Linked DNA regions of Schizosaccharomyces pombe. The protein of the gene in region 1 interacts with the protein of each later gene in a biochemical or structural test. Each region holds a gene or a part of one and is shown in the gene's direction. Other genes may lie near its edges.

Region 1 (4,260 bases):
CCAATTCTGCATTACCAGCAACATAAGCAGCTTGTCTCCTTTGACGAAGACGGGTCTTTTCAGCAGCGATGTTCGAAGGAACACGCGATAACTCTTTCTTCCTGTTAATAATATCAGAAACCTCCTTTTCGCTTAAAACGTATTTACTCATATCCCTGAGGTCATTCAGCTTTCGTTGTACAAAATTTTTAGAGGGCATGGAAAGCTTATCTTCCATCATTTGGTGATGCCATCGTTGGAAATCATGGTCGGAAAAAGGCTCATTTGATAAGACGTTGACATCGAACACTCTTTTCGAGCGACCATGAAAACATTCCAGTGAAACTTTAGTTAAAACACCATCAACACGATACGGCTTTCTGCTTTCTAAAATACCCTTGACTTGACATAAGCGATATACACCTTGTCCATCACGCTCACCAATTTTAACCCGAACAAAGCATCCAGTGACGGTGGACTCAAAGATAGGATGATACATGTACTCCGCGACATGTTTACGCCCAAGACGAATTGCATTTAAATCGTACAAATTGGCGGATGCATTATCTTTTGAAACTTGTTCAACTTTTTCCTCAGCATAGCTGGGAGAGTAACCTTCCTCTTCTTCGCTCTTCTCCGACTCATTCTGTTCTTCATAATCGGAAACAGGGCTCCTTTTTCTAGTTCTTTCAGAGACGCTTCTAGCTGAACGTTCCTGGCGGCGCTTTTTCAGCTCAGTAAGCTTATCACGTTTGCCAGCGGCTGCTGAAGTTAAAGGCTTGTCACGAGTAGACCTTCTAGTAGATTGCGCCATATACTGAGCATTTTGCTGATGGAGGCGAATTGCCAATTCACGCCTTTCCATCAACTTTGAAATTTCTTCTTCACGTTCGAAGAGAATACTCTCTCTCTCAATTTCCGTCATTGCCATTATCCTTTATTTGGTTAGACAACTTTATGAAAAATGTAAAAATCAACGTACTTTGCTCTGTCTGCTTCATCTTTAAACTTGCCCTCTAGACGATACGGGTTTTTGAATTTTTCTTCAAATTCGTCTTCCGACTTCTCATTTCCTTCTCCTCCAGACTCTTCCGCATAATCCTGTCCAACATTTTCATTATTGTCTTCGTCTGAACTGCTGCTCAACACATCATCTCTAAAATATGTTTTGTTAGCAAGGTCAATCCGATAAATTTGCTTTCTTACAAATCATCATGAGCCCTTTTACGGTTTGAAGCAACATCTGAGTCATCAATACCAGCTAATGCCAACAATTCATCCTGAAAGTCGGCCATCTTGGTGGAGGACAGGATCAGATTAGCTAGATACCTGACTAATAACGGTTCCAAGGACTCTCCACCAATTTCATAACAGCAGCGAAACTTTTATCTACTAGCTTTCAAAGGTACTATCTGCTAGTACATTAAAAGAATAATGTTTTTATAATTTGAAAAGTGATTTTTTTTTTAATTTTTTTTTTACGAAATAATTTTTGCAGATGTTGTCTTCCTTGGTTACAAACCTTATCGTTGAAAGCTTCCTTTTAAAATACTGCTCATTTGGGGTCCTCCTCTTTCCCTCTTTTTGAATATATTTCTTCTGTCGCGTAAAAACTTCAAACTGAGAATTCTGCATTTTGTTACAATATAAAATTCGTGAATCAAACCATTCAATAATAATCACAAGACTGTAAATAGGGCACATGTTAAATGCTCTTTTACAAAGAAAATCGTTTTAAGAAATAAGATATCTCTTCCATATCTGGCTTCTTTTACATATAAAGTAGCAAAGATTGCTTACGCCATTTCAAAATGAACTCGGCTCTAAAGGCAATAATAGAGCTTTGTATTGAAGAAGACTTGTTGCCAAAATCATTAGATGTTTTAGAATATCTTCTATCGACGACCTCTATACCAATTCCAGCTTGTTATATACGAATGTGCATAACTCTTCTAGTCCACCCAGAATATCCTACCTCTTCTAATATTCAAGAAAGCTGTAATTGGATATTACAGCAGGTGGTTGAGAACAGAAGCAAAATCAACTTTGACGCATGGTCATTTGAAAATGATCTATCGGACAACGATATGCCTAAAGAAAATTATCTGAAGATTTTCTCCAACCAATGCTTATTTACCCAAGATGTTGATTATTGGGATCTAATTGCATACATGTCTTCTCGTCCTCCTGACCTTGAACGTTGGATGTCCTTGATGGACATATGGTTAAGGATATTAGAGATCGATGCTGAGGAAAACGGATCTGCGTTGATGAAAAAATACATGGGAGAAGATTTGTGTGAACTTCAAGATGCCATCAGAATTTGCTTCTCCTGTTTCACTCTTCCCCAGCAAACAATGGAATCACCTTTTGCAACAAGTATGTCCAAAGCACCTGCTAAAACAGAAAGTCGAGGTTCAAATAGTTTTGAAGGAACATCAAGACTAGCAAACCTAGGTGCCAAACTCTTATGCCTTATATGGGCTATGCTTCCGAAGGGAAGATTTTTTGTTGTACATCTGACAGACGCTTTTCATTTTCTTAGCAAACTCGACGAACGTTTTTCAAAACTGAATGCGAAACAACAAGATCTTTTCTTTGGAAACTTAGGCGCCTCCAATCTCCGGTATTGCCTGAGCCAATATATACTTATGAAAGGAATAGGTATTGGAATTAACATACGCCATACACGTTGTGAGTTTACTAAACAGCTAACTCAACTTTTACCCACTTCCCTTCCGAAAAACAAAATCAGACAGAAGCTACATCTACGAGCATGGGTCTCATTTTTGGGTTCGGCCCTTCGTGAAAGTGATCGCAACTTTGATAAAGAGCTATTTTACACAACGTTGAAGCAGTTATACACAATGTATCAACAAACAGAATTAGTTGGTATTGATAGACCAATGGCAATACTCAAAGACATGCTTGTATTATTAGATATTTCAAAAAAATTGTCCTTGGATAAAATCGTTTAACTTAATAATTTAACTACAAATTAACAGAAGTCATTTGGCATTAATTGTGTATCCTAATATATATAGACTATATGTATCGTTTCAATGAATGAGGCTTTGTGTGGAAAATAATTATTATAATCATTAGTGATAACTAAGAAAATGAAATTTATATGAATAATATATAATAAACAAACGGGTAGATAGAAAGTAAATTAATTATTACCGAAAACGAAATGAAACATTTTGTGCAATAATTGTATGCTTGACCCCTTTATAAGATTTTTTATCTGGATGATTAAGCATCTTCAATGACTCTACTTTAAAATTATGAAGGGTTGATCCTTGAAGTTTATATTGTAAATCAAGGTGCTCAAGCTTAGAGTAGCTACTTGACTCTTCGGTTGAATTGGCATCTTTCTTTAAGGGGGCCAGGAATCCTGTCAACACTAAGGCCGGGGATGTCCAAGCTAATTTTTTTACCGACCACTCCAGAATACCTTCTTCCATATGAGTATACTTGGAAGCACGAAAAATATAATTTCCCTCGGTAACCGTAACGCTCTTTAGAGCTTGAGGAATAGTTATTAGGATTTTTAAATTTTCAACGGATTTTTTCCCGGTGTTTCGAATACGTACTTCGAACCTTCCATCCAACTTATTTTTTGCTTCAACAACAACAGGCAAAGATTTCTGGGTAGCAAAGTCTGTTTGAAAAGAAGCTAATGTAAATTTTCCGTCCGGTGGAATGAATTCAATCTGATCCGGATGTTGTTTCCATCTTTTTAAATTGACTGACTGGTGGAACCGAACATTCCCTAGTTTTGTGCCGGGTCTCAAACTCAGCAAAAGTAAAGGCATACCAGATATTTGACATTTGCATTCCATATCACTTTTAACTGTGCCAAAAGCAAGTTTTCCGTTAGGCTGGTAAACGGCTGATACGCGTTCAAGTACATGAATAAAAAATTCATTGGTTGCATATTTTGCTTTAGCTGTTCTCCAAGGAACGGTATCTCTTGCAAGAGTCGGTGTATTTCTAAATCATGCGGTTAGCACTGCAAAAACAGAAAACTAAATAACATACGTTTGTAGACCAGTAACTGCCATAAACTTATTCATAAAGCTAGGGAGTGGTACAATGTCCTGCAATGCATTTGGTTCCATACAAGTTGCATATCCATAATCAATCATTTCAGCTAATAGCTGGACAATAACGCAAACATTTTTCTCGACCTTTGAAGCATTAAACCCACCAAAAAATGTTTTAACTACATCCACAATGCGTCTCATAATATCATGAATGTAGAGAGGCTCAGTGTCG
Region 2 (6,708 bases), on another chromosome or scaffold:
AAAATAACAAACCGCATTCAATCTACTTACAACTGAGTTTCCGAATTATACTCCATGTTTACTTTGATAATGTTAGGATGATCAAGTTTCCTAAGAATTGTCATCTCGTGGTCCTCGAAAAACCGTTTCGTTGAGATTTTTTTCTTGTCGATGATTTTACACGCGTATTGTCCCCCAGTGTTATTATCCATTGCCATGTAAATGCGCGAGAAGCCACCAATTCCCAATAGTCTTTGAGTGATGTTAAATCTCTCACCCGCATACTCGTGATGAAAATCATTATCAGTAGTGTATTTCTGCTGGAAAAGAAAGGAAGCGCAGTGCCGAACATCGAGTATATCTCCATCCGATAAAAGGACGCTATTGCCTTTACCAATTAAACGATGATTTAAGAATGTTCCATTAGAGCTCTGATCTTCACAATAAACAAGGGGATCCATATCATCATCGATTAGCACCGAATACACTCTAAAGTGCTTATAACTGGCAGTGAATTGCAGAAGCTGATAATTGCATGTATTACTCCTTCCAACAGAAACGTCTTCATATTTCTTAACATTCAGTACTAATATATGTCAAAAATCAATTGAAACAAGAGAACACACCTGTTTGTGGAGAAGATGATGAAAAAACAAACAATCGAGCGAGAACATCATCTTCAGTATATTGAGGATCCATAGTACTTTCGTCTATTTGACTCAATTCACAAAGAATTTGCGTTGATTCAGATCGACTAAGCATGGCATGTGATAAAAAGTCCATAGTTCTTGCTTTTTTTTATATACACTTTGCAAAACGGTGATGCGCGTAAGCAATAAATATATATATACTTTGTAAGACGCGCCTATCAAAACGTAAAAGCAGTGTCTATAACGGTATAAAGACAATACCCATTATTATTACGTTATACCACTATAAACCAAAGTCATTTGGTAATGCCAAAACATACACTTGCCAATATTTTGAAGGATTGGGCTTGACACTATTAAGTATATTAATAAAATATGAACCTCATTGCTTATCAAATATAGTAAATTATGAGAATCCATATTAGTACAAACAGAAGAAACTTTGGATTTCAATCTCGAAGAGAGTTGCTGGCATTTAAATGATTTTTAGTCAAATGCAAGCAGAAGAAAATTTCTCGCTGTATTCACTTTAATGATCCGAGGACAAAAACGAGTCCCAATTGTAAGTTGCTCTTCATAACGAAGAAATTTGAGTATGAATAACCATTACGGTTAGAAAAAAACAAGGAAGGAAACTTATTATTTGATTAAGAAATCAACAGCTTACAACATTGCAGATTCTCATGCAACCCCATTTTCATAACGCTTTTAGGAAAGCTTGAAAACACTTTCGAATCCAGCATGATCTAATAAAATGTTAACAGGCAATTAATCGGAAGATTCATTAGGTCAGTGTTTCCGGGGTAATAGTTTAGAAATATTTAAGGCCGGACTACTTCCAAAGGGTTGTTTTGGATAATTGATTAAAAGTGATCTAACCAACTTTTTAAAAACAATACCCATATTCGTTTCTTGGACATTTTAGCCGAAAAGTGCTTTTTAAAAACCTTCATAAGCTTATATCTTGTGCCTGTTTTTACTCTTCCAAGTAGGATGTATTTTTTTCTCTGTAAAAGTGATTGAAAAATTATCCGGTAAATATTCAGTTCCAAATATTCATAGTAAACCACACGAAAAGCACCAACAGTAGAGTTAAAGCTTAATTTATAGTTCGGTTTGACGTATTTTCAATTTCAAACAAGCACGTTATCAACTTTCATCTTGAAACATGCCGCTTTTACCTTCTTGGTTATTTTCTAGGTCTGCCAAAATCGCCCAAACACTAGCTTTGTAAAGAGTATATACAAGTCCAACCTCCTTTTCTAAATCCCTTAGCGAGTCCAGAATATTGTTGCTGGGATTATAAACCATGTCCTGTAACACCTTAACAAGCTAAATATTAACCAACTGCTGAATAAAAAAGACTTACTGTTTCTAAATTTGATGCAAGATTAGCATATTCAGCTAAAATTTGATTCTGGAGAGCTCTTTTTTCCTCTAAACTCATTGTACCTTGCCTTGCATAAGCACTTTGCTCTCAGCAAACTCCTAGTTGACTGAAATCCTCCTTACTTCCACCATGGATGGCCTTAGGCCTTCGAAACGAAGAAAAAGTAATCCTTTGTATTCAGAGTAAGTTATAGCTTTTTTCTATTTAGTATTTCTGCTTTTTATACTTCGATGATCTTAACACGCGAGAGTTACGCGTTAGGAAGTATTGTACGAATTAAATTAGTGAACTTTGTTACATACGATTATTGTGAACTGTTCCCTGGTCCATATCTAAATTTGATTATCGGTCCAAATGGGACAGGTAAGAGCACAATTGTTTCAGCAATATGCATTGGGCTGGGATGGCCCCCAAAAGTAAGTCTTTCAATATTATAAAAAATAACTTAATTGATTAACGATTTAGCTACTTGGGAGAGCTAAAGAGGCCCGTGAATTTATAAAGTATGGCAAAAACACTGCAACCATAGAAATTGAAATGAAGTATCGTGACGATGAAACGGTTACTATCACGAGACAAATAAGCCAGGATAAGAGTAGTTCTTTCTCTATTAATAGGGAAGCATGTGCCACTTCTTCAATAACGTCTCTAATGGATACTTTCAATGTACAATTGAATAATCTTTGTCATTTTTTACCACAAGACCGTGTTGCAGAATTCGCTCAGCTTGATCCTTATTCTAGACTGATGGAAACTGAGCGTGCAATTGACCATGAAGGGTTACTTCCCGCACATGAGAAGCTTATTGATTTACGAAAACGAGAAAGGGAAATTTTACAAAATAAAAACCAAGGACAATCAACATTAAATTCATTAAAAGATAGACAACAGGCACTAGAGAAGGAAGTCAATATATTTAAAGAACGGGAAAAAATCAAATCATACATCGAAATGCTAGGGTTAGCTAAAATGTTAGTTATATACAGAGAGAAAACCAATGTCTTTAACCAACTTCGTGCAGACAAAAAAAAATTAAAAAAGGATTTGAAAGACCTAGTGGAAGAATTTCAACCTATTTTGGATAAAGGTGAAGAGCTGCGTTCGGATTTAAAACTAAAAGATGATACATTTAACGATTACTCCTCCGCTTCGATGGAACTTAATACCTCAAATTTAAGAGCCAGAGCTTCTTTTTCGAATTTCATGGAGAACGAGAAAAAGCTTTATGAGAAGGTTAATACCAATCGAACACTTTTACGGAATGCAAATCTTACATTAAATGAAGCACAACAATCGGTGAAGTCATTAACAGAAAGACAAGGCCCAAGACCTTCGGATAACGGTGTTCAAGATCTACAAGAAAAGATGCAAGAAGTTAATGCGGAAAAACTTCAACATGAAAACGAGAAACTTGAGAGCTCTCATGAACTAGGTAGTATCAGAACATTGAAAGCACAAAAGCTTATTGACCTTGATAACATTAAAAGAGAGTTGTCCTACTACAACGATGCTACGAAAAGGAAACTAGACTTTATGTCTTCTGCTCCAGGCTGGGAAGATGCTTATCAGACGTATCAGTTATTGAAGGAATACGAATCTGCGTTTGAAGCACCCGCATACGGCCCAATTTATATGAATTTGAAATGTAAGGAAAAAGGGTTTGCAGCTTTGATAGAAGGGTTTTTTCGCACGGATACGTTTCGAACATTTATAATGTCAAATTATAATGATTATCTAAAGTTAATGGATCTTATCACTTCAAAAACTAAGTACACTCCTACTATAAGAGAATTCTCCAGTGAACGAAAAAAGAAGATAGAAGATTTTGAACCTCCATGCTCTCGTGAGAAGCTTCAGTCTTTCGGGTTTGACGGATATGTGATCGATTTTTTAGAGGGGCCAGAAGTGGTTTTGGTTGCTTTGTGCCATATGTTAAAAATTCATCAAATTCCGATTGCAAAAAGGGAACTACCTCCCGCATCAGTGAATGCGTTAAACAATTTTCGTCTGGCTAACGGGGATCCAGTTCTTAAAACTTACTTGGCGGGCTCATCTATCCACTTGGTTTTTCGTTCAGCTTACGGTGATAGAGAAATTACTAGGCGAACAGACCCATTACCTTCTCGCAGTATATATTTTTCCGAGAACGTTGAGATGGATTTGGTAAAGCGAAAGGAGGAGCAACTAAATGCTCAACTCTCTCAATTGGAAAATTTACAGAATGAGGAAAGAAAGTTACAAGAAAAGGTAAATGAGCACGAATCGCTGCTTTCTCGTACAAACGATATATTATCTACTCTACGAAAAGAGCGTGACGAAAAATTAATTCCTATTCACGAATGGCAACAATTACAAGAAAGAATAGAACACCAAACTCTTCTACTAAGACAAAGAGAGAAAGTTCCTGAGCAATTTGCAGCTGAAATTGAAAAAAATGAAGATATCAGGAAAGAGAACTTCGAAGCTCTTATGAATTCGGTGTTAAAAGTTAAGGAGAATTCAATTAAAGCTACGAATAATTTCGAGAAGATGTTGGGAAGTAGACTTAATGTCATAGAAGCGAAATACAAACTTGAAAAACACGAGATGGATGCCAACCAAGTCAACGCTCGATTGACAGAAGTACAAGATCGTCTTAAAGATATTACCGATAAGTTAGCCTCAGCAAGGGAGGATGCTATGTCCTTGTACGGTTCAGTGGTTGATTCATTGCAGACACAATCATCTGACAGACAAACGGCAATAACTGAATTAAATGAAGAATTTGCTACTAGTTCGGAAGTGGATAACAAAATTAGCATCGAAGAAACGAAACTGAAGTTTATGAATGTTAATAGTTACGTTATGGAACAATATGATGCGCGTAAAAAAGAAATTGAGGAACTAGAATCGAAAATGTCAGACTTTGATCAATCCGTTGAAGAGCTCCAAGACGAGATGAACTCAATCAAAGAGGATTGGGTTAGTAAGTTAGAGGAGAATGTTCAATGTATTAGCGATAGATTTTCTAAAGGAATGAGTGGAATGGGATATGCTGGAGAAGTTCGACTAGGGAAATCCGACGATTATGATAAATGGTATATCGATATTTTAGTACAATTTCGAGAGGAAGAAGGACTTCAAAAACTTACGGGTCAACGACAATCTGGTGGAGAACGTTCTGTATCTACTATAATGTATTTATTATCTTTACAAGGTTTGGCAATTGCTCCGTTTCGAATAGTTGATGAAATAAATCAAGGAATGGATCCTCGAAATGAACGAGTTGTGCATAGGCATATCGTCAATTCAGTGTGTGACAACGCTGTTTCACAATACTTCTTAGTCACTCCAAAGTTATTACCAGATTTGACATACCATCGAAATTTGAAAGTGCTATGTATTTGTAATGGTGCTTGGTTACCAGCAACTTTTAGAACATCCCTTTCTACCTATTTTGAAAAGTTAAAGAAGTCCGCACTCATTTCTTCGTCATAAATGCTACATTACCATATTTGTCTTGTTGGCATACTTTTTCTTAATTTTTGATATTTGTTTTGTCCGATGGTGTTTTGTTTACTAAAGAATTTATTTTATGAGTTTTAAAATTTTGCATACGAAGTTACCCGTTAGTCATTTCGTTCCTTAGAGTCACCGAAAATTTGACCGTTAGATTTAATAAATTAATAATATCATTATCTTTAATTATTGCTTTCAGCATCCTGACATTTAAAATGTTATATCTTTATTGCTTAACTTATTCAAAAGATACATGTGCCCTTAACGTAGTTTTGTGTAATACAATTATCGCGCAACACCGTAGATGTGGCGCTATCGGGAATCCATATTAACGTAAACAACAAAGAATTGGGATCATTCTTGTGCTTACCCATTTCTGTTCATTAGACATTGATTTTAGAGAAGCTTTATTAATGTCTTCTGAAAGCAAAGGAATACCAATTCCCCGCTCTGATTCTAACAAAACCAGCGACGTTAGTTCGTGGGAAGAAGATTACGAATTGATCAGCTTAGGCTCCAGTCAAGACGCTTTGCAAAGATCAGGCATTCGAAGTGCTCATGGAGATTCAGGATACGCGTCTTCTCCACTGCGAATGGAACATTTGAGTTCATCCACTATAATTATCAATAATCAACTAAAGAAGATAGACGTGAACGAAAGTATTCCTGAGAACTCAACGTTGCATAACAAGTATGAACTTGGTGCTGTAGAGAGCTCAACAAGTTCTCTTAGTTTGCTCCAGAGTAAAGAAGAAGATGATAGCAGTAATTGGGAAACTGAGGATTCAGAATCTGCCGTCGAAGAGGCAGAGCTTCCCACTATATTCGAGGGAAAAACAGTGATATCTCCTAGTAGCTCTGGTACGGATCACAGTGAAGCTGTCGAATATACTGTTCCTACAGCTCCCCCAATACCGGACTTGCGATTCCAACAGTCATATCTCCAATCTATTCAGCGTGCAAATGGGTCTGCCTTTTTAGTTGCATTAATTACTCTTCGTGATCACGTTCTATATCCATTTTTAAGCGGAGGGATGTGGGTTTTTGTTCGCCATATTTTCCAATTCTTAAAGCTCCAAGAGAAAGGGTTTCACTTTGGCCAGTCGCTTCGCCGGAATCTGGGCTTGTTTTCTACCTTCAAGGATTAATCCACGTTAGATTAAGTGTTATAGAGCTATCCAATTGCTCTCA

Evidence for each region.
Region 2: the proteins of nse5 (region 1) and smc5 form a complex in vitro, tested with the Schizosaccharomyces pombe proteins (2 studies listed by BioGRID).

What each region holds. Positions count from the first base shown.
Region 1 is NC_003423.3:1,256,113-1,260,372, forward strand, and holds nse5 (Smc5-6 complex non-SMC subunit Nse5), read left to right. Parts: upstream 1-1,790; coding exon 1,791-2,957; 3' UTR 2,958-3,080; downstream 3,081-4,260. Other genes in the region: prf1 (RNA polymerase II-associated Paf1 complex protein), read right to left, coding at 1-914, 962-1,135, 1,186-1,274; AP-3 adaptor complex subunit Apm3, read right to left, coding at 3,159-3,975, 4,024-4,260. UniProt on the Schizosaccharomyces pombe protein: Acts in a DNA repair pathway for removal of UV-induced DNA damage that is distinct from classical nucleotide excision repair and in repair of ionizing radiation damage.
Region 2 is NC_003424.3:5,225,194-5,231,901, reverse strand, and holds smc5 (Smc5-6 complex SMC P-loop ATPase subunit Smc5), read left to right. Parts: upstream 1-2,108; 5' UTR 2,109-2,148; coding exon 2,149-2,201; intron 2,202-2,269; coding exon 2,270-2,435; intron 2,436-2,484; coding exon 2,485-5,496; 3' UTR 5,497-5,723; downstream 5,724-6,708. Other genes in the region: mek1 (meiosis-specific serine/threonine protein kinase), read right to left, coding at 31-565, 606-762; DASH complex subunit Dad3, read right to left, coding at 1,779-1,961, 1,999-2,076; mitophagy receptor Atg43, read left to right, coding at 5,931-6,665. UniProt on the Schizosaccharomyces pombe protein: Acts in a DNA repair pathway for removal of UV-induced DNA damage that is distinct from classical nucleotide excision repair and in repair of ionizing radiation damage.